Linked DNA regions of Oreochromis niloticus. The protein of the gene in region 1 interacts with the protein of each later gene in a pairwise test. Links are inferred from orthologs where the notes say so. Each region holds a gene or a part of one and is shown in the gene's direction. Other genes may lie near its edges.

What was found.
Region 2: the proteins of nck2a (region 1) and abl interactor 2 interact in binary tests that used the Homo sapiens proteins (3 or more experiments, as listed by UniProt). The link is inferred for Oreochromis niloticus from reciprocal best matches to the Homo sapiens genes NCK2 and ABI2.
Region 3: the proteins of nck2a (region 1) and hoxc4a interact in binary tests that used the Homo sapiens proteins (3 or more experiments, as listed by UniProt). The two-hybrid records come from large-scale screens. The link is inferred for Oreochromis niloticus from reciprocal best matches to the Homo sapiens genes NCK2 and HOXC4.

What each region holds. Positions count from the first base shown.
Region 1 is NC_031987.2:20,986,201-20,993,707, forward strand, and holds the start of nck2a (cytoplasmic protein NCK2a), read left to right. Parts: upstream 1-4,493; 5' UTR 4,494-4,612; exon of another isoform or gene 4,613-4,808; intron 4,809-6,832; exon of another isoform or gene 6,833-6,918; intron 6,919-7,507. UniProt on the Homo sapiens protein: Adapter protein which associates with tyrosine-phosphorylated growth factor receptors or their cellular substrates. Maintains low levels of EIF2S1 phosphorylation by promoting its dephosphorylation by PP1.
Region 2 is NC_031987.2:29,356,861-29,364,743, forward strand, and holds the start of abl interactor 2, read left to right. Parts: upstream 1-4,866; 5' UTR 4,867-4,892; coding exon 4,893-5,009; intron 5,010-7,883. Other genes in the region: transmembrane protein 237A, read left to right, coding at 23-143, 1,061-1,252, 1,704-1,777, 2,447-2,534, 3,208-3,329, 3,980-4,047. UniProt on the Homo sapiens protein: Regulator of actin cytoskeleton dynamics underlying cell motility and adhesion. Functions as a component of the WAVE complex, which activates actin nucleating machinery Arp2/3 to drive lamellipodia formation.
Region 3 is NC_031984.2:19,198,615-19,205,705, reverse strand, and holds hoxc4a (homeobox protein Hox-C4a), read left to right. Parts: upstream 1-4,074; 5' UTR 4,075-4,924; coding exon 4,925-5,360; intron 5,361-5,871; coding exon 5,872-6,233; 3' UTR 6,234-6,858; downstream 6,859-7,091. UniProt on the Homo sapiens protein: Sequence-specific transcription factor which is part of a developmental regulatory system that provides cells with specific positional identities on the anterior-posterior axis.

The sequences.
Region 1 (7,507 bases):
GTGTGTATGTAAAGACATTGCTGTATTGGTGTTTTTTTCCCCCTAATGAATCATATTAATGTGGCTCTAACACCATCATTCCAGCTGATCAGCCATGTCACTGTGATGTATATAGCTTTCCGATACCAGATACAAAACATCTCATGTGGTTGTGGTAGATGTTTCCCTTCACAACATTTCTTTTTTCAGAATGCAAGGAGTTTGTTTTGGAAGACTTTTCTGACAGAAAGGCTTCCTTCTGCCAGAGAGGGCTGTCATCCTGTGGAGGGAAAGATTGTTCACAAATGGAAAACATTCAAGACAGTTGCCAAACTTTCCAGGATTGGACGTCCCAACAAATTCACCTCAAGGTCAGATTGTGCAGTGCTCAGAGAAACTGCAATTAACTCAAGAGCTACATCTCTGACTCTGTTAGCATGCTAAATGTTAAAGTTCATGACAGTGCAATTAGAAACACATTCAACAAGTACTGTATGACTATTCTGGATGGAAGCCTCTTTTCTCTTTAAAAAGAACATGGCAGCGCGGCTTAGGTTTGCAAAGTTGCACCTGAATAAACCACAAGACTTCTGGAACAGTGTCCTTGGGATACATGAGACCAGAGTGGAACTATTTGGCTATATTGCATAGCACTGCATTTAGAGAAAACCCAAACACAGCATATCAGCACAAACACCTCATACAACGCTGTTAAGCACGGTGGTAGAGTGGTGATGAATAGGGCTGGTTTTGCAACCATAGAGGATTATTAAACTATTCTGATTCTGCTTTTTATTCCAGAAACACATGTGAGAGCTAATTTTAATATCCACCCATTAACTCTCTGTAACTCTGTCTCTACAAACCACTAACCAACTCTCATACCCTCTTCAAACCAGCCTTTTCCAAAGTGGATGTTTTAACAGCGGGGGGAAAGCACCATATCTACATCTGTGACACCAAGATAATACATTTCTGCATTTTGATGAATACATCCTCTCTTTGAAGGATCAAAGATGCTCATTTCCATCATACGTAATCTATGTTTCAGAAGGCTAAAAGTCTCACTTGGCCTTGAGGTCAGTGAATTGCAAACATAGCACAGGAGCCGCTGGTTCATCACGTACATCACCACCTCCGGTCAGATATACTTAAACACGGGGTGCCTTTCTGCCAAAATAAACATCCAGTTTCATCAGCATGGTAACTATAGCTCCGCTCAGCTGCAGGCCCCTCACCAGTCGACGATACAGTGTCACTGGTGACAATATGAGGGGCGTGGCTCTAAAATGGAAGACATCCTGGTTATAGCAGCAGCAGATAGAGTGGTGACATGTGTGACTCAGTCTCGATTAATAAATCAAGTTTGCCTCGGGATTAGGAGGAGTGGGGTATGAAAGACAAACCATTCCAATAATTTTGCACTTCTTCAGCAACATTAAACACCGCCTCCTCCCCCCTTAGACATGTAATGTTGTTTTTGAAAGTTATATAATGAACTTTATGCTGAATGATATCCAATCGGGAAATCTAATAATACCAAGTGTAGCAGTGTGAACACGCACATCAGCTCTTTCCAATTACCCGTGAGTCCGCAGCATTAAAACGGATTTAACTTTTAACGTGGATGGTTAAAAATAAGCACGTGCTTACAGTTATTCATCCAACTGTCCTCTAATTAAATTAGTTTGTTGAGGTAGAAAACAAAATTGTGTATGATGAATAAGACAGGGTGGTTGGGGTGAGGGGTGGAGGAGTGGAGTGTGGGTGAAAAGGTCAGCAGATGGTCATTTATTTGTCAAATCCTGACGCTATGGTGATGAAGGTTGGTATGTTAGGCATTCGCACATGATTACGGGGACAGCGCCCGTGATCCAGGTCACATACTTTATCTTTTTAGCACTGTTTCTTACAATATGCATGCAAATGGGACACACTGAGTCGTGATACTGCGACTTTGTATTGGTGGTGCAGAGTTTGGTGGATTAGAAGGGACAAAAAGCATTTTAGCTTTTGTGTTGCAGAAGGGGAACAATGCAGGCAGACATCCTGATACTTTTGGTGCACTACATCTGACCTGCTGCAGCATTTAGGGCACATTAAAGCTTTTGGCATACCAGTAATGGATATGCATTTCTTCCAAGGATGTTCTGCCCCCTTGTGACAGCAAATCCAATGCTACAAGAGCCTCTCTATACACGTGCAGTGTTATTTTCACTCTCACTGCACACTTTGAAATAAAGACAAAAAAGTGTCGCTCAGGCCTGCTGAGTTGAGTGTCAAAGGGCGTTTACAGGTAACTGCTTTGCTTTACATTGCAGGAATGAATAGGGACGTGTGAAGGCGCAGTGTAACACGGTACGCATAAATGAATCAGCATCGGTGGATTTGGGCCAACTGAACTGTTAAAACAGATGGATATTGCACATAAGAGATTAGTGGGAACAGAAGGTTTTGGCTATGAAAACTGTGTGTTGAGTAGGATCCAAATCCAGTCATAAATTACAAATGTGTAGTAGTCAGAGACACAGGATGTAGTCTTAATGTGAGACTGCACTTTTACAGCATTCAAAACAGCGATATTATTTTATTTTTTTCTTACATGACAGACAAACTGTCATAAAACTGACATGTAATATATAGTTGAGAAAAAGTCTTTAGAGATATTGACTAAATTCTGGCCTTTTGCCACGGCTCTAATTTCTCAAAATTAGATCTAGAACATTATTTGATTTCGAATGGTGCCCATAAAAGCAAATCACCGTGGGATACTGAGCAAGGAAAAACGGGACACTTTGGACACTTCAGTAGGGACTCCATTCCTAAATCAGATCGGCATCGACTCAGTGCAGCTTTCTTTTATTACCATCTTAGGACTGACTTGTTTTGATTGGATGTAAAAACCAACCTGTTATTATGCAACCGGTTACTCGTGCTCAAGGTTTATTCATGAAAATGCGGCCTTGTCAGTACTCATGAGATCATATACTGTATGTTAGGTGTGTCTAACAAACATAAAATACAACGGGGGGGATTTTGCTCTGATTGCTTTTAATCTGATTGCTCTTTGATTACTAAACCTTAGTACTGGTAAATATCAGACCTGCTCATTGAACCTCTAGCGTGTCAAGGTGTTTGACTGTTTTTAACTCTTTTTTTCACTCTAACATGAGCTAAATGCAACGTCTTTTCCGCCTCGTGTTATTTTTAACAGTTTCAAGTGTGTAGGATGATTTATTTCTGTAAATAGCACACCATCTGAGTGATGAAAACCGTGAGAAGGAACACACAGATGAGAAAACAACCGCACAAAGTCTAAATTTAGTGTGTGAACAATGGAGTTTACTGTGTAATATACGACGAATACTTTGGTATGATTAATTACATAGTTGACGGGCGAGCAGGGACTTTTTGATGAACTCATCAATACTAAGTTTTTGTTTATGAGTTTACTCAAGATAATCACTTGCAGGCTATTGAAAAAAAAAACCACTTTGCATGTAAAAATAAAATAAAATACATCCGTTTTCCCAGTGTGGTCGCCAAGGGGCGACACAGTACCTCACATTTTCTCCCTTTCTCTCGGCGTTGTCCTGTACGAGTCCCGGTGTGGGTGACGTCACCAAGGGGACCGGCGATCAAGCTGAGCGCACTCAACGAAATCAAACCGGAAATCAAAGAAGGTGTCTTCGAAATAAAAGCATTAGTCGTCTTAGATCACTTGGATAACACAGAAGCAAAATTTCATTGAAAATTGTAGGCGCAAACATGAATAACAGAAAACTGAATAAAAATTAAAATAGAAAATAAAATATTTTTAAATTCATAATCTCTGTTTGCATCCTGCTTAACATTTCTTTTCACACCTAGCCACAGCCACCTTGGGAGGGTAGTGAGACCTGCTGTTATGTGGGGTTTGGAGATGAACAAAAAGGACAGGGAGTTGAAGATGCTAAATTTTTCATTGTGAGTGACCAGGTAAGTTTGGAGATAGAATTAGAGAGAGTTTGGACATTTGGAGAGGGAGATAGGTCGTAGGTTGAACAAAGGATATTGGATATGAAGCTGCCAGGCAGGGGGAAAAGAGGATGATGACAGAGAAGATTCGTGGATGTAATGAAGTTGGTTGTGTGACAGAGGAGGATGTCAGGAATAGGGTGAGATGGAGCCAGAGCATCTGATGTGGTGACCCCCTAAAAGGAGCAGTCAGATGAAGGAGAAGACCCAGAATCCTTCTGGAAACAAGTCTTTGTGAAGCTTCTAGACACCTTTAAGGGCAGATATTTTGACGAATCATCTGAATTAACTTATTAAATAAAATACTGGTTACTTGGAGATTTTAAAAAAAAAAAGGCATAAACCGAAACACAAGACATATCTGACTTAAAAACTTAAAAACTTTAAAAATCTAAACACATTTATTAAAAATCTATTTTTCCCACCTGGAAGTTAAACTTCTATCACCATTTCCTCCGGATTTCAAATTCAGCTCGTTTGACTGCAACGTCTGTACGCCCAGAAGAATTTATTTTGAAAGCAAAGAGCGGAAGTTGGCAGCCCCATAGACCAAGCTTGAAACGAGTGATTGAGGTGGAGGCAGTCAGCCTGCGACGGAAAAAACAAGCGATAATAGGTCGGACACTTCATGCTCGATTCTTGTTTTAAAAGAAAGAAAAAATAGAGAAACCCGTGGATATGTGGATGTAGGGGGTTATCTTTGCGGCTTTCGCGCGGGCTCCCTAACTTACAATTTGATTGGCGGGTTCTGGTTCGGGGTTTGTTGTTGAGCGTGTCGCTGTTTGCCCATTCTCACTGGAGTGAACACTAAGGTAAGCCTTGTAACCGCAAATGAACTGTGTTAAGTTGGTGCACTTGGACCGGTCGCTTTGGCCATTTCAGTGCTGCTTAAACAACCGTTTTTAGTTAAATTTGCCCGCGAAAAATGTCATTACAAGCTGAAGTAAAAGTTGGGGTAAAGAAAAACGGCAGCTTGCTCGTGCCACTTTGTAGGTTTGACGCTGGGTCTTTGTCCACTCAGAGGTGGTTTCACTGGACGCTGTGTGCTACAGCCTCGGTTTTTCCTTGCGTTTGAGTGGTTGCTGTTAACTAGCCACACAAACAGTGATATTTTTCTTTTTTCATTTTTAGAGCCAGACTAAATGGTTTTCAATTTATCAACTTTACCATTTAGCAATTTTTGTGCGGGGCCACTTCTTAAAGGCCTGTAAGCGCAAGCTACTCAAGCAATCCTCAGGCAGGTCCTTTAGACTGTTTTCTCAGGCAGCTGCTCTTGTTTGAGTAATTTCTCGCATTTATATCTCAAATTAATAGAAATCCACACATAAATTCATGTTATTTTTTTTACATTTACAATGCACTGCGTTTGTCAGCAGGCCTGTTTAAAAACGCAGTGGCTTACACAATGAACCACATTTGCCAAAACACCATAGACTGGCGACTGGTGCCACATGCCGAGATTGTCAATGTTGAATGTCTAGTGGCTTTTCATGGTAACTACACCGTGCGTCCTCCTCATCAATAGCAGCAGAGAATAGCATGCATTGTCTGTCTTGCTGTGGCAGTTATTGTCCATAACTAAAGTCCCTTTTATTCTAGAAGACGGGGGGAAATTTGCACTTGCATGCAAATGCAAGGACTGAGGTTATAAGAAAGCACAGTTTCTCTTTTTTCTTTTTTTCAACATGCAGGTACACTTGCGTGGCACACCTATTCTGCCGACACACCCTCTGACAAGAGCACCATGTTAGCTCTGAGTCTAGGACAAGGTTCACTCAGAAGTGACAGGTATGCCGTGTAGGCATGTGCAATAATGGAGCGATAAAGTGTGAATTGCATAAACGTCCATTACATCACAAAGCAAAGAGAGAACGCGAGTTTCAGTGCTTTGCATTTCCAGCATATCAGAAACTAAAACTAGAAAGACTGCTAATGATACCGAGAAGTGCAGTAACTGCATGTACTCAGTGGAAATGTGAGCTTTTCGGGCTGACTTCACACTCAAGTAACATTTAGTATGAGTGTTGTAGATTATGTGGTGGTTCAGTTAAACCCTAAATTTGACCTGAAACTATTAGTTATGGGAATTACGGTGATCGGGTAATTTGGGTCTGATTCCACCTCTCAGTGAATATTTGCTGCATTTCTTGATCCTCTATGATTGTAAGCTGAATATTATTGCATTTTTGATTGGCAATCAAAAAAAGCGGTATTAAAATAACTCACGCCGTGCCTTTTTTTAGAATTTTATTTTACGACTTATAAACAGTTATAACTGAGAAAGTAATGTAGAAGTGAGTCAGATAATTGTTGCAAACCTGCTGTATCCTGTTGCATGTATGTTTTTAAATGAGGTTTTGATCTAAGGCATATTTTGTAGGTACATTTTGAAGGAATCATTGATTACCAAGTGTGTGCACATGTTAAGCAATTTTGTCATTTTAATCTAAAGCTGATTAAGTCAATTTTGCAGATGCTGCTTTTTTCCCTCTTTAAAATCTTTGTAAACCAATTATTTGGGGCTTTTTCTAACTGCTGGTTGCTCCAATTGCATCATTTAAAGGAGTCTTTCATTACCTCTCCTTTCAAGAATTTATAATTGACATGTTTCATTATAAGCTGGACTTATAGAAGAGCCCTTTTCAAAATGACACACATTAAATTGCCTCCATGTGCTGCGGAGACTGAAACCAATGGTGCGTTCAGGCAGCCATCATCAATTAATAAAGTCAAAAATTTTAAGAGTCAATCTGTGGGAACTTCCCCTTTAATAGTCTGCCAAGTGTTAAATGCTGGAGATGAACTGAAGCTATTTTTTTTTTTTTTTTTTAACCAGTGTGTGATTCAGCATTTGGATATTAAAACATGCATGGTTTTTCCTACCATAATGTGCCTAAGTGAATGAAGCAGCCTGGACAACAGGTAATGATTAACCTCATATCCAATCTGATAGAAAGAACAAACACTGGTGTTAATATATGACTTTGTTTGTTTCCACCTTGCATGAGCTTTGTCACTTTAAGTTGATATGAAGGCAGCTCGTAGCAAATGTTGAACAGAATACTCTGGACGTCAGATGATTGCATAAACATTTGGTGCCGATTTAGAGAAAATAATGTAATATGAATATTTCTTAGTATATGTGACGTTGATATAAATACGAGCGTGTAGATCGCCCTCGCATTTAGTGACAAATTGCTATTTTTTGTCTTAACTTCCCCTATCAAACTTGGAACATGTGCACGTTTGTCATTTGAGCTGCATTTTTTTTCTTCTTACAGATGAGAGAGTAATCCAAATCCTCTTTCTTCTGTGTATTTGATTGCACTTTTATGAGCTGCAACTAATTACTCTGCTCGTCTTTCTTGTGTATGCCTAATGGGCCTTAAAGAAAAAAAAAAAAAAAAAAAAAAAAAAATATCCCTTGCATACTGCCGCGCTGTGCCCGCACAATATTTTTTTCCTCTGTTGTTTTGAGTGGAAGCCAGTGGAAAATGACTTTGTTCCGAGC
Region 2 (7,883 bases), about 8.4 Mb from region 1:
GTGTGTGTGTGTGTGTGTTCAGGGCGGTTTCAGGGAGAGCGAGTGGAGCATCTCCGACACTCTGAGTTGATGGATGACTACATGGAACCCAGACAGCTCTGGACCACCAGAGATGTTGCAATACGAGTCCACAGCAGCTTCAGGTCTGCAGACACACACATACACATACACATTAAATGGGTTACATTAACATTGGCAGGAGCTAGCTGCAGCAGCTGTTTCAAACTGTTATGTATCCTATACATGTCTACTCAGCCAATCACATGGCAGCAAACGAATGCATTTAGATATGTAGACATGATCGAGACAAACTGCTGAAGTTCAGACTGAGCATCAGAATGAAGAAGAAAAGTGATTTAAGTGACTTCGAATGCAGCGTGGTTCTTAGTACCAGACAGACTGGTCTGAGTATGATAGTATAGTATGTATGAGTGATAGGCTGGCAGGCTCAGAATTTGAAATCATGGACCCCTCCTTGCTTATGTCAAAGGTTTGGCTGGGCTGTGTATGATGGAGTAATGGTATGTGGGCACGCTTTGGGCCCTTTAGTACCAACTAAGCATCATTTAAACATGGCTTTATCACCACAGTGTACCCGTATTCCAATGGCTGCTTCCAGCAGAATAATGCACCATGTCACAAAACTCAGATCATCTCAAACTACTTTCTTAAATATGAGTTCATTGTATTCAAATACCCTCCACAGTCACCAGATCTCAAACCAAAAGAGCACCTGGAATAGGAAATGTGCATCATCATGTCATCATGGACCAGAATGTTTCCTCCACCTTGTTGAAATTAGGCCACAAAGAAATCAGAAAGGGGTTCTAACCCTGTACTAGCAAAGTGTAACTAATGAAGTGGCTGGTGAATGTATATCTGATATAAAATATTTCACATGCTATGCCATCATACTGCAGTGGTCCTAAATACACCAATTCAGCAGTTCTTTTCTCTTGTTTTGTGACAGAGAAACAAAGACATCAATTTCAATGAGTAGCATGAGTAGCTGCCATGAAACCAGTTTAACGTGGTCCTGTGGTGTGATCTCCACCTGCAGGGTGATAGGTCTGTTCTGCCACGGTTTTCTGGCCGGCTTCGCAGTGTGGAACATCATTGTTGTGTACGTCTTAGCGGGCGAGCAGATGACCACGCTCCCCAACCTGTTGCAGCAGTACCACCTGCTGGCCTACCCGGCTCAGTCTCTGCTCTACCTGCTGCTGGCCATCAGCACTGTGTCTGCATTCGACAGGTTTGTGTGTTTAATAACTCAGAGGTCTACCTCTACACTCTCATTGAGAAGTGGAGGTGGAACCCATGCCATTGTTTAAGCTACTTAAAGGAGTGCGGTTCAGTTTGTGGCCTTTATCATGTCATTTTAATTATCTTTGAAAAATCTTTAATTATTCAACTTGTGCATTTTTACTTTATATCTTTCATCTCTTATTGTTTAAATTGCATTGTTCTTGTATTTTGTTCATCTCAACTGTTAAACTAACAATCCCAAAATTTCACTGCTCTTGTAATTTGAAAGAAATTAAGAATCTGCACTTGGTGGGAACGTGTACTGAAGACCTGTATTTCCACCAGCAATTAAAAGAAATTGTCTCATAATTATCCAAATTCCCGCTGGACAGGAATTGTTGACTTGAATAAATAAGAAGGTGAAAAGTAAGAGCTTTGCTGTTTTGCACCATCTTCAGAGTGAACCTGGCCAAGGCCTCCATGGCCCTGAGAGGCTTCCTCACCCTGGATCCTGTCGCTCTGGCTTCCTTCTGTAAGTAAGACAAGACGAAAGCAGAATGATGATGATGTTGATGTTAAGGCCTTAATGTGGTTAAGGACTATGCAGTCATGTAAAAAACTAGATACCTTTACTGCCTCCATAGAAATTACAAAAGTAGGACCCAGGTACTGCTAATCAAATGCACCTGATTAATTCAATTATATAAAGGCTTTAGCAATTTGCTGGTCTGTCATTCCAAAGTCGTCTTTCCAGGAGTGAACATAGCACCAATTCCCCCAACTCTGCATATCAAAGTATTCAAAAGTGAAGTCATCTGTCTGACAGGTAATATTTGGCTTACACTGGGTCATGTTGAAGAACAATGACCGCCAGCTTAGCAGCAAATCCAAACCTCAGTCTGGCTTAAATGCTGTGCGGCTTCATAGAGCTGTGCATGAACAAAGAACCAAGGTTTAAAGAAGAGTGGGCCAAACTTCCTCCACAACAATGTTACAGACTGATAAAGTCATACAGAAAACATTTACTCATTGTAAGGGCGATTAAGGTAGATCTAAAGCTAATGAATTATGAACCTAGGCATGTTGGACTGGTCATTTTTTACTCTCTTAGTGGTTTTTTACAGGATCTCATAGAAAACTGAAAATGTTCTTTTTTAAATGCCTGTAAGTATCCAAACATCTTCTCTCTTTGTGTGCTCAGTGTATTTTATAGCCCTGATCCTGTCCCTCAGCCAGCAAATGGCCAGTGATCGCATCAACCTGTATCCCACTGCCAACGAGACTCTGTGGTGAGATTTTTGTTTTCATTTTTATAAGTCAGCATTTTTAGCGTGATCTTGGAAAAGTAAAGAGAAAAACAGATGAAAGCAATTCTTTCCACAACAAGTTCAAGGTTGACATGGCAACTGAATTTAAAAACTGATAGGAGCTTAAAGGGCTAAAAGGAAATATCTAATGCAGGATGGTTTAAAAGCAGGTGTTTTACATTATACAATACTTATTAATACTTATTAATATTTCTGTGGTTCTAGTAGAACACTAACCATGTATAAGAAGTTGATTTTTACCAAAAGTGTAACCCTTATTCAGGCAATTGTAGTCACATGTTGGTTTTTTCCCATGATGAAACTAATTTGAATATCTTTCTATATATTGAGTAATACTTACATTTCAATTGTTTGGCAAATTTAAAAACAAAACATTTGAAAACCAAAAGTATCCAGAAAACATTCACACATTTCCACATAAAAGGAACATCTTCCTTTTAACAACACTGAGACCTGAGGTACCATTGCCAAAGACTTTTAAGAGGCTAATGCATTTCTTTTATTAAACTTAACTTGGAGAATCTCAGAGTTCTGCTATTTTCTCCTTACCATGGTTGGAAAACCCTCCTGAGGACTCAATCTTGACATGGAATGGTAAATTAATAACTGCTGTTTAACCTCTCATGTCCTGCAGGCCTCCTGGTTCAGAGCAGCAGATCCTGCGGCCGTGGATTGTAGTGAACCTGGTGGTGGCGCTATCAGTGGGCCTGGCCTGGGCCGTCGTCTCCACACGACCAGACATCGACTACACAGAAGGCAAGTTTAGCTAAAACTAACCTGATATGACTTGGACATTCCATCACCCAGTGATGGAAAGTAACCAAATGTAGTTAAGTACAGTTCTCTGGTCTTTTGCATTACTTGTACAAAAATATGCTATTGCTCATAACAAATATGTATTCCTTTTAAGCTTCAAAAACTTTTTTTATAGAAAATGAAATGTAAAGATCACACAGAGGGATGTTACTTAACTTTGGGGACACCTTCTTGAGCAAACAGGAAACGTTAATGATACTTCACATCCTGTGGAAACAGTGAAATAAAATGAAAAAGTGGTAATAAAACTACAATAACAGAAATCGTAAAAGGCTTCTGTAGGATTTGCAAGGTTTTGGCCACACAGCACACGCACATGGAGTCTCCTGGACTCCAAATACACCAGGTAGTCTGAAGGATTAATGACACATCACTTTTTTTTAATTTAAATGTAGCTGTATATAGTATAAAAGTAATACTTTTGATGCATTGCTGTGTTCCTGGTGTCATTCTTTATGTCACCACTAGATAGAAGCAAAGTGAAACATGTTCAAACCCTAAAAGCAAATGGCAGACATTCACATGTCAGCAAGCCAGCGTGTGTGTGCTTTGTAGAAATGTAAGCTGATGGTCTGGATTTCCTTTTGCAGAGTTTTTGATGACAATGGAAGTGGAGGGATACCCGAGAGGAGATGAGAACCTGGACATTCCGGCCTGAAACCTCTCTCTCTTTCTTTGTCTCCAAGTCTGTTTATGTTTTTGTATAATGTAGCTTTGTGTTTGAGCTGATTTTGCAAATAAACTAATAAAGGCTATATGGTAATAGGTGGTTGATACTTCTGCAGAGGAATAAGTGCCAGAAGAGCATAAAATACTTTCTGGTGTTTGTACTCCACTTGTAAATGTTGTATGTATTATTTTCATTCCTCTATTTTTGCTTATGGTCGTTTGCACCTTTTAGCAGTTTTGTCTGTGAAGTCATTTTGTGTGTCTGTTGTGTTTTCATCACTTTGCAGTTTTTGTGTCTTTGTGTGTTTTCTGTTTGTGGTCATTTTACCCATTTTGCCTGTAACAATTTTTATACACAACAGCAATTTTTTATGCTGTGTGTTGTAATTGGGAAGTCGCTTTGCATGTACTTGGATGTGTCTCCTTTTGTGTATCCGTTTGATGTCATTTGTCATTTTGTGTGCCTTGTTTGTTTGTAGCAGTTTTCTAAGTAATTGTAATATTTCTGAGCTCTATTTGCCTCTTTTACCTTCATCATTTGCATCACCTCCTGCGTGTATTTCATAACAGTTTGTAGTCGTTTCCGAGATGTTTTTGCGTGACTTTGATTAACATTCCCTAAAAAAGAAGGTTAAACAGTCAAACGAAACAATATCGTGGCCCCACCTTACGACAGTGGGCTCTACACTTGTGCCTGGTAGTCCCTCAGAGCACTCCCACTCTCCCACTTTTCTTCATGCCATCACAGTATTGACATTTCCGCACAGCCCCTGAAGGCGCTAGGATCCATCCATTCAGCGCGCGCTGCAGCCGTGTAGTAAAAGCCATGTAAAGATGGCGGAGCTGCAGATGCTGCTGGAGGAGGAAATTCCTGCGGGACGAAGAGCGTTGTTGGACAGTTTTACCAACCTGGAAAGAGTCGCGGAGTACTGCGAAAGCAACTATGTCCAGGTACATGCTCATATTTAAACAGCAAGTGTATAAGTTGGGTGAAATGACATATCGAGGTAATGTCAGTTGGGAGTAGGCGGTTTGGATAGAGGAGTGATGGAATGACCGTGCCAGATTCCGTTATGTTACCCGTGGTTTTTATGTAAAGGGGAAAAGTCACAGCGAATTCAATACAAACACTGACCCGCTGATGCCTGAATACGAAGGGTGTCGGGGTCAATTCGGTTTTTTGAAAAATATCCTCAAACACATCTTTACTAGTGAAAAATCAACTTTTGTAAGTGGTTTGCGCAGCACCGTGTTGTTTTCTGATGGAGCGTGACTCTGTGGGAATGTGATGGGTGGATTTGGGTTAGTTTTAAAAGTTTGCTTTAACCGAAATAAGTTTGAATATGTTCACTGAATGGGTGCCGAATTAATTGTCGAGTTGCGTTTTTCTAGTAAAATGTCTCTTGCAAAGTTTGTGATGTTTATGTAAGCAGGCAATCGCTTGAGCAGAGATGCGTTAATGGGAGTCTGGCGCGACACTTAACTGGTATGTGATTGTGGCCGATAACTTGCACTGTAAATCGCTGCTGAGATTTATGATTTACTTTTACTGCTATTCTATAAACAGTTTGTTTTTATTTATTTATTTTCATCAAATGATAACCGGCAGAATTAGGGAAATTTGAAGATAATTGTTAGTTTCAGTCCTGATCTAAAGTCTTCAGTATCTAGTAAAAACATTGTTTCAAATTGCCATCAAGGTGGCAAATACGGCTGTTATGACAAATAAATGTATCAGATTAATCTTTAGTATAGATCCTTTATAGATTCCGTTTGTCCTTGAAGATGCAGCTAATGATTAATATCATCGCTGATAGCTGACAGCTTTTCTTTGATACAAATTGTGCTTTTCTTTTTTATGCTGTTACAGTGGTTGATGCTCATATTAACATGGCCAAAGTTTCAGACCATGAGGTCAAGTTATTCCTGTGAACCAAAACAAAGTGGTCTAAATGCTCAGTTTCAGACACTTTCTTCTCCTCTTGGCTCTGTATGACGTCAGTGACAGCGGAGATCCCTAATATGGTCATGTCAGGCTCACAACTCTGGCTAATTTATGCAAATATGACATGGAGGAAAAGGGGTTTGCACTCATTGCTCTTTCCATCATTGGTGGAACCGGATGACGTATGCGTCAAGTGGGCATATGGAAGGGAAGGGGACAAGAGTGGATCTTCTCTGTGGCTGGCAAATGGACCAACAACACCACGACCTGTTCTATCACATACTTTGTACACTGTTTCTATCTGACACTGTTTCTGCTCTGCACGCTGAACCAAACTTTTTGTTTCTGGCTGTAAGCACATAAGGCCCACCACCTGCTTTTCAAACCATAGATGGTCTAAAAGATGGACGTAGCCACCATTACGCCAGCTGTTGGTTTGTGAAGTCCTGTTTTTGAATCTTCAAGCTGATGGGTTTTTTCCCCCAAACGTAATGTTTGTCATGTCATTAAAACCGGACGTGACAAGCAAAGGTTGGATCTAAAACTGCACATACGGCAATTTTCAACTGCGACTTACTTGAAGCTGTTGTATTATAGCACAGTCATTTGTCACGGGCATAATACAGCCCCTTGAATTTAGTGTTAAATTAACACTCAGCTTATCCACTGATGGCTTCTTGAGAATGTGAGTTAGACACCAGTATCTGTACTGGGCTGCCATCCCTCCACCCCCGTGCTTGCTTATCGGAGAGTGTGTGAGTGTACGTGGGCAGACAAGGCTGTTACGGACAACTGTTCTTCCTCAGCTGGCTCTGTAGACACACCTGTTCATCGCCACATTTCATTTAGATTCGTGTGTTTGTGTGAGTCTTACTGTCAGTCAACAAGTGAAAGTGCATCAACAGTCTTTCTTCTTTAAAGGCCAGAAGCACACAGGCGCTACATGATGCGTCACAGCAGACCGACACAGTGAAATCTTGTTCTGCACATCTACACATGATGAATTCCACAAGGGCGCTTTCTTTTTCCCCTCTTTTATTCCTTCTCCTCTCTATTTCTTCTTTCCTTTATAACCTTTGACCTTTTTATTTCTCTGAAATTCTCAGTCTGTTTTCACACAGTACTAGCTTGGCATTAGCTTTCTCATTTTTAGCAGTCACATCAGCAGTAACATGTCATCTTCTCAGGAAAACTGAAAGTCTTTTTTAGCTCGTTAGACTGCTCACACTGCATGTTCAGATTGAGCCTAGCATGGCTAACTCAGTACCCAGAGGATGGCCTACATTTATGCAGCCAGCAGATGATGTGATTGTTACATAATAGCGCAGTGTGCTGATCCTGTTTTATGGGCTAAATATTTGGATTCAGAGTTGACCCGGGTCAAGTTGTTGTTGGTCTTATGTGGCCACATCCTGGCATCATTGTGGTCCAAATTCAGATTTAAAACAGTCTAGTGCTTTTTAAGGGGTGGGGGTGGGGGGGGTGGGGGGGGTTACAGAGTGTCTTTATTCTTTTACTTTTGCATTCCCAGAAAGTTGATTTCCTTACCTGCATCAAGGTGCTCTGAGTGTTTATTTGTTTTCTGTGAACAGAGATTTTCAATAACATAATGTTGCAACTGTACAAGATACAGTCATGAAGCTTTGCACGTCTGTGGTTGACATCAAAATGAATGCTGGCTTTGAACATGGGTGTGGTCAGTTTTGAGCATTAAATAAAGGCTTCCTGGAAGTGGGGAGGACAAGGGCTCCTTCCCATTTTATTTTGTGCAATCCCAACAAGCAGACAAACACCTGTGAGCAAACACTTGGCAACAGTGAAAAGGGAAAACTGTCTTTTAACAGGAAGAAACCTCCAGCAGAACCAGGCTCAGGGTGGGG
Region 3 (7,091 bases), on another chromosome or scaffold:
TTGTCACTTAATGAGGACATTTTTTTTATGGACCTTTATGAACCATTTTGTCATCATTACCCTTTTAATTTTTTCGTTCTTTCTCTCTATTTTTCAGGCATTTCAACGAGCCAAAGTGAGTGAGACTGCGGATTTAATAGTAAGTGTTACGCATCGCCCCACGCTTATCCACCTACCTTTATTTAAGAGTAAAGCTTGTCTGGCGGAGTTGTTTTTCCAATGACAGCAACCACCTTAATATCTGCACTTCCACTTAATTTATTCAGACACTCTGGCATTATGTTCTTTGTCTCGTTTCTTACGATTTCAAACATAGAAGCCTAAACAAAAACTCCAACTTAAGATGGAATTACCATCCTATACTCTCAACTTCTTGCAGTGCCAGTTAGCCGGATTTAACTGCGCAGTGAGTCTTATGAACCACATCATTGCTGCAAAACCAACCAACTGTTTATGTGGGGAATCTAGTTTCTGAAACCGCCTCTGCTCCCTTGGCTGCTGCTTTTTAAAGAGTATTCATATCCAACTAGTCTCCAGTCTGTCTGCACTTCATTAAAACTTTTTATTTTAACTGGACGATACAGCTTAACGTTATTACACCTGGGGAGAGTAAACGTGGAAAGGCTATTAGGTTAAGAGTTTGATTAAAAGCGCATCGTAACCGTTTTCATCAGGGAGCACAATATTGCTGCACTGTCTGCATCCAAGTCAGGTACTCGGCCACCAAATTAAAAAAAAAAAAAAGAGCAGCACTGCGTGGACAGAACGACCTCCACATAGTTTTGCACAGATTTATTTTGTTTACATATGTACATGTGTGAACACGCTTGTAAGGCTGTTATTTTGCAGGGGAGGAAAAGGGAAAGCTTAATTTCTCAAATGAACAAATGAAACATCAAATTAGTCCGCCTGAGGGCCTCATTTTTTGTACTTCTACATTATAACTAGTTATTGAACTAGGTGCACGATCTGAAAGCCATTTGTGGGGAGAAAGAATTCATTGCTGTCTCTCCATCAATAATCCTTGGCAGTGAACTATTGGAACCAGTCAAACGCGAGGGGTGAAACGCGGGTCAGGCTGTCTAACTAATATTAAAATGCGTCCGCCAGAGCGCATGGGGCGAGAGGGAGTAGGTGGTGTGCATGTAGCTCCTTTCACACTGGTTGTGTGCACGACAAACAGCATGTCTTTTGATGAGAATATGAAAAAAAAATCCAAATGAATATGAGTTAGATTTTTTTTTTTTGTTACCACTTCTCGGGAGTTCACTGTGTGTTGGGGCGGGAGGCTTTGTTAATCAATTTTAAAAAATCAAATTGATGCGCGGGATGCTGGCGGAGAAATATGTAGATTGAGATGTTTTTTGACAGTGTTTGAAGCACCCTGTGCATCACCGCTCTAATCAATTCCATTGATTCACAATCTGAGCATGTTTGCTGTTTTTAATAACCCCGAAACAGGTCACATGTCTGATATTGCATTTTTCATCCGAGGCTTTTCTCATTAGCTTCCAGAGTGGCAGCAAGAAAGGTTACCGAGCGGTCAGTATGGTAATAGCAAGCAGAAGAAATGGTTGGGAACAATAGAAACTTATTTTTCATGTGTGCTGTCACGCCGTCCCTTTGTATCCTTCGTGTTTGTGGCTGAATATTCATATAGGAGGTACCTCAAAGGCAGAGGCTGAATGTTGAGAAAAGAGACCCTTTCTGTTCTCTGCGTACGGCGTCTTTATGCTTTGTGTGTGTGTGTGTGTGTGTGTGTGTGTGTGTGTGTGTGTGTGTGTGTGTGTGTTTGCAGGCATACGTGTGCACTCATGGATATTTTATTTTTAGAGAAAGGACGTAAAATGTGTGTTTTCCATTGCCTGTAGATGTATCCATAGCAGGAGTGGGGTTTGTTTGTGACTTTGCTTCTTGAATCCTGATAAACAGAATCCGCTTTGACGCACGCTTTCTGTGGTATTTCCACTCTGATGCTTCTTGTGACACGACTGCGAAATGCACGATAACCTGCTTGCCACAGATATTTGCCCGGCAGATGACCTTTTACAGTGTCTAACCTAAAACACATTAGTTGTCTATATGTACCCTGTAGAACCGAATTTGTGTGAAGTACAAGCAGTCGCAAATACGTCTCTACAGGAATACATGGGCAACTGAAATACCACGCCAGTCGATGGATTGTTCTGCATCTGCTTCCCTTCACGTCTCTCTGGCATTTTTTTCTTCCTGCTTTTGCATATACAAGCATCAACGATGATACATACAGCCTGCATCCACCCCATCCACGGGCTCTAGCAGTGCAATAACGCTGTCACAAAGTGTATTCATAGCTCAGACAGCCACAGATTGTGTAGGTAGGCCACAGAGAACGTGCAGTGTGCGGCTACTACTGTGTCAGACCCTGTAAAACACGTTAGGAACCAGGGGTCGTTTAAAAGTGACTGATTTACGGCTTTTATTGCTCTATAAAACGCCTCTAACATCCTCACTAGGGGTAATAGAAATGTCGTGCGCATTCTTTACAAACAGTACAGCCGGAATTATGATAAGCAATTTCACGTCGTTTTTAACCGTATTATTTAACTGCTGCTGTGAAAATAGATGCTTAACTTGCAATGTGATGGTTTGAATGGAAATATACCATTGTATTATTATTATTATTATTATTATTATTATTATTATTATTACTCTCCACCTGAAGACATATAAGTGAAACATGGGGGTGTTAAGGTGATAGGGAGGTTAACTTCACTCTGTCTGCCTACAGCTGACTCTGAGACAACAATGGGAAGCTTCCAGCACATGACAAGTTTATACACCCAGGCAGTATCAGTTTACAATAAAACAACAGACCACCAGTGCTGTAGACTGTGGCTCATGGTCAGTGCTTCAGCCAGGGTTAGCATGTAACATTTTCAGGGTGGATTTTCCTGAAGGCTGCTGAACAAAAGAAAATGTTCTAATACTTTCAGTGTTTGTATTTTACTGTTTAGAGTAACCATGTTTTTTTTTTTACTAATCATAGGGATGTTGCATTCTGCAATTCTTCTTCAGCACTTCTTGTAGTTTCGATGGCCTGTCTCATCTGCCTAACAGTGTTGTTTTTCCTCACATAGATGCTGTTCATTGATTGTTCCTGCGCTTTTATTTGGGCCATTACAAAGCTCAGAAACATGTGCACCAAGTAACAGATAAGGGCTTTTTCAAGCTGTAAAACTGCAGTCAGAAGAAAGGGGAATTAGCACCACTCAAGACCACAAGGACTGGTGGCTGATTTCTATTTACACGTGTCGTGAATTGCTATCATGCATTTAGGACAGATGTTCACTTAGTCAAGAGTGTGTACAGCAGACTCTCTTGTCTGCAGCAACTTCACAGTGACACAATACTGGTCCTGCAGTTAAATCAGCAGCTCATTACACCCTCTGCTCTGTGACATAATAGTGATGTAGTTTCACTGCTGGCTGGTTTGTGAGCTCCTGGTGAATGCTTCTCTGCAGGGTTGTGTGTCCCTGATCTGTGACATCATATTAGTGATATTATGTAAGTTTGATCAGTTGGATGTTTCACGCCTGCTTAGCCCGCATCTGTGTTGCAGTTTTGTTGTGTCTATGACATTTTAGTCTGTGGCATATCAGGGTTTATATTCAAGTTTTGATTTATGCAATGTTTTGTTTTTTATGGTTGCTTTGTTGTGTTGTGCCTTATGGAAGCAAAGATTAGAGATTAAACAAGTTTTGCTTTGTCTTTCTGTAGGATAGAATAGAAGCACCTTGGATGGATTCTCAAAATCTTTTATATTGTAAAGCATTTCACAACTTTTGTTCCAGCAGATTTTGGCTACATTAAAGCAGCAACCTCAGATACAGAATCCTTCTGTAATTCAGTCCCATTCTTAATGCTATATACTGAGATATTTATAACTGAGCCATTTGTATCTTTTACATCTTTTTCGTTATATTTTGTAACTTTGTAATATACTGTATTATTTAATTTAGTGTAGTTATTTACTGTTCTTACTGTCTTGGAGCAACTGTGGCCACATAATTTCCTCGGGGATTAATAAAGTATTCTGATTCTAATTATTCTTACCAATTTTCATTTAAAAGCTGAAAAAATCCATACAAATGTGTAGTCTGAAAGAAATTAATACGGATTCGAAATAGATAGACCTAAATTTCTCATTGTTGAAGAACCTGCCACTGAGGCAGATTGTTTCTCTCTGTCCACTTCTGTCCAGCACTACAAATGATCAGTCTTCATCTCCTCCAAAGCTGGAGAGCATTCACCTCTCCACTGACATTCATAGTCACGATATCTTACCTATGTTACTGCTGAAATGGTTTTTAGGGAATAAAGAAAGAAAACTTAAAGAAAGAAAGAAAGCAATCCAGACCTTATTCTTAGTCTCGTGAAGAGACCCTGGACTATGTCACAGCTGAAGCTTTGTTGTCAGAGACGGTCTTTGTTAATCAGCCGATCATCTTTATATAAGGTGTTATAACTAACACAATAACTGGTTTGCCATTGTTGTACCTCATCCTTGTCCCTTTGAATAATTGAGACCACTGTATTTGCCTGTTATATTTTTTCCTTGGTCAGCAACTAGCTACTAGTTTTGTCCCCAAGATCAATTGCCTTGGTAACGCAGCCAGAGAGAGAGAGAGAGAGGGAGAGAGAAAGAGAGAGAGAAAGAGCGAGAGAGAGAGAGAGAGCGAGAGAGAAAGATTTGTGCCCACAATGGCGACTGTAGGTATGCTAAATACCTCTGGTTCCTTATCCGGGAACTACCTCTTACCCTGCTATTGGGCCATTGGGTCACGTGGTAAAAGTAACTTTACAGGGCTGCTCGCAAGTAGGAGGGCTTTATGGAGCAGAAAAACGACAAAGCTAGAAAAATTATTTTCCACTCCAGAAATTAATGATCATGAGCTCGTATTTGATGGAGTCTAACTACATTGATCCGAAATTTCCTCCATGCGAGGAATATTCGCAAAATAACTACATCCCCGAGCATAGTCCAGAATATTACAGCCGCGCAAGGGACACTGGCTACCAGCATCACCATCAGGAGTTATATCCTCCGCGGGCGAGCTACCAAGAGCGCCAGTATAACTGTGCAAGCATCCCTGAACCTGACACGCCAAGGGGACATGGAATACCCCATTCTGCGCATCTACTGACAGGGAAAGGGCAGCCTGCTTCATGTGAAACCCCACAGTTGTCCATGTCCCCCGCCACCCCACCGGCCGCAACCTCCGCCTGCAACCAAGCTACCCCGGAGCATCCAAACAGCACAGCCTCCTCCAAACAGCCTGTGGTGTACCCATGGATGAAGAAAATTCACGTCAGCACTGGTAGGCAACTTGTGTGTTTATGTTCCCTGCACTCCTCATGCTCCTCTCTCCCCTTCCCTCCCTTTATCAGTCCCTCTGACTCCCATCTCGTTGCCAGCCCCTGCTCCGATAGCAGGGAAGCCTTTGAAATGGCACAATTGAGGCGGATTTACGACTCGGCATTGGTAATTACACCCACCATAAATTTTATAGCCGAGGTATACTCAGGGCAGCCGTATCACCATGTGGCTTCTGCTGTTATGTATTGCGCGATGGAGAGAGGGGGAGAAATGAATAAGAAAAAAAAAAATCTGAGCTTTGTAATCTTGCATTAATAATTTAGCTCATAGTTGGATGTGAGTGTCCTCTCATTACGTAGAGAAGTTCTTAACTTCCCATTTAAATTTCTCAAACAGCTAAACATTCATAACCAATAAATCTTTCCAGCCATATCTCAGTTGAGGCCATTCTTGTTTACCCCTCCTTTCCTCCCTTCTCTGTCTCCCTTTCTCTCCTCTTCTCCTTCTTCCAGTGAACTCTGGTTACAATGGGACGGAGCCCAAGCGGTCTAGGACAGCATACACCCGGCAGCAAGTCTTAGAATTGGAGAAGGAATTCCACTATAACCGATATTTAACTCGGCGGAGGCGCATCGAGATCGCACACACCCTGGTTCTCTCCGAGCGGCAGATTAAAATCTGGTTTCAAAACCGCAGGATGAAATGGAAAAAGGATCACAGGCTCCCGAACACCAAAGTGAGATCCTCGTCCTCTTCCTCCGGGTCCAACACAAGCTCAGCAGCCGGCGCTGTTGCCGCTGCCTCGGCCACTAACACGGGGGCCCCCGACGAACTTACCGGAGCCCAGCATGGCGAGGATATTACCAGGTTATAAAACCATGAACCAATACTGGGGGTAGAATAAGAACTGGTTATTTATAGAACACTTATATATTTTGTTTTCGTAGCTATCTTGTGCGGTTTCCTTTAAGTCCAAAGTTATATAAAATGCATGTTATATAGCATGGATTACTGCGAATACCGATGAATTATTTTTACGTGACACAGGGTTTAATTTATTTGAAGTTCAATTAAAATGATGTTTTTTATTAAAAAAATGTTTTGAATGAAGGAAGAAAAAGTAGAAAAAAATATACATTTTATCAAAATGTTATTGTGGGCCATTCTTTTGCCCTGCTGCCCAAGGTGAAATGCACAATCTATTTATTTCAAACAACACTGGAAGGAAATCACTATAATAATAGTTATTTTTGGTATATAAAAAAGAAAGCTGGAACACACCATTGATCTTGAACTTGTATGTTTAGGAGAATAACAATGTGTGAATTACCTCGTGTATTTCAGAAACAGGATTTTTCTTTTTCTTTTTCATTTTGCAATTTAGTTTTGTGGTGTTGATGTTGTGTTTTAGACCGTTAAAAGCAGATTATTGTGAAATGCAATAAACGGAGTTTAGTGTACTTGTGCTAATCATATTGGTCAATAAAACAGTGAGTGTCTACTAGTTTTAAATACGTTTGTTCCAAGTTCATTTTAGGTAAGGTGAGGTCTACTGTTGCAAGATTGGAGGCGCTCCTTAAAAGTGTACAGATGTGTGAATACTGGACATTTCACGAGGGAAACAAAAATCACTGTGTTTTTAAACTGTGTTTGTCAATCCTGCAGCTCCCTTTTTTGCGTGTTTATATTAGCAATGTGTACAGACACTGAGTGTGTGTATGGTTTGTATGTG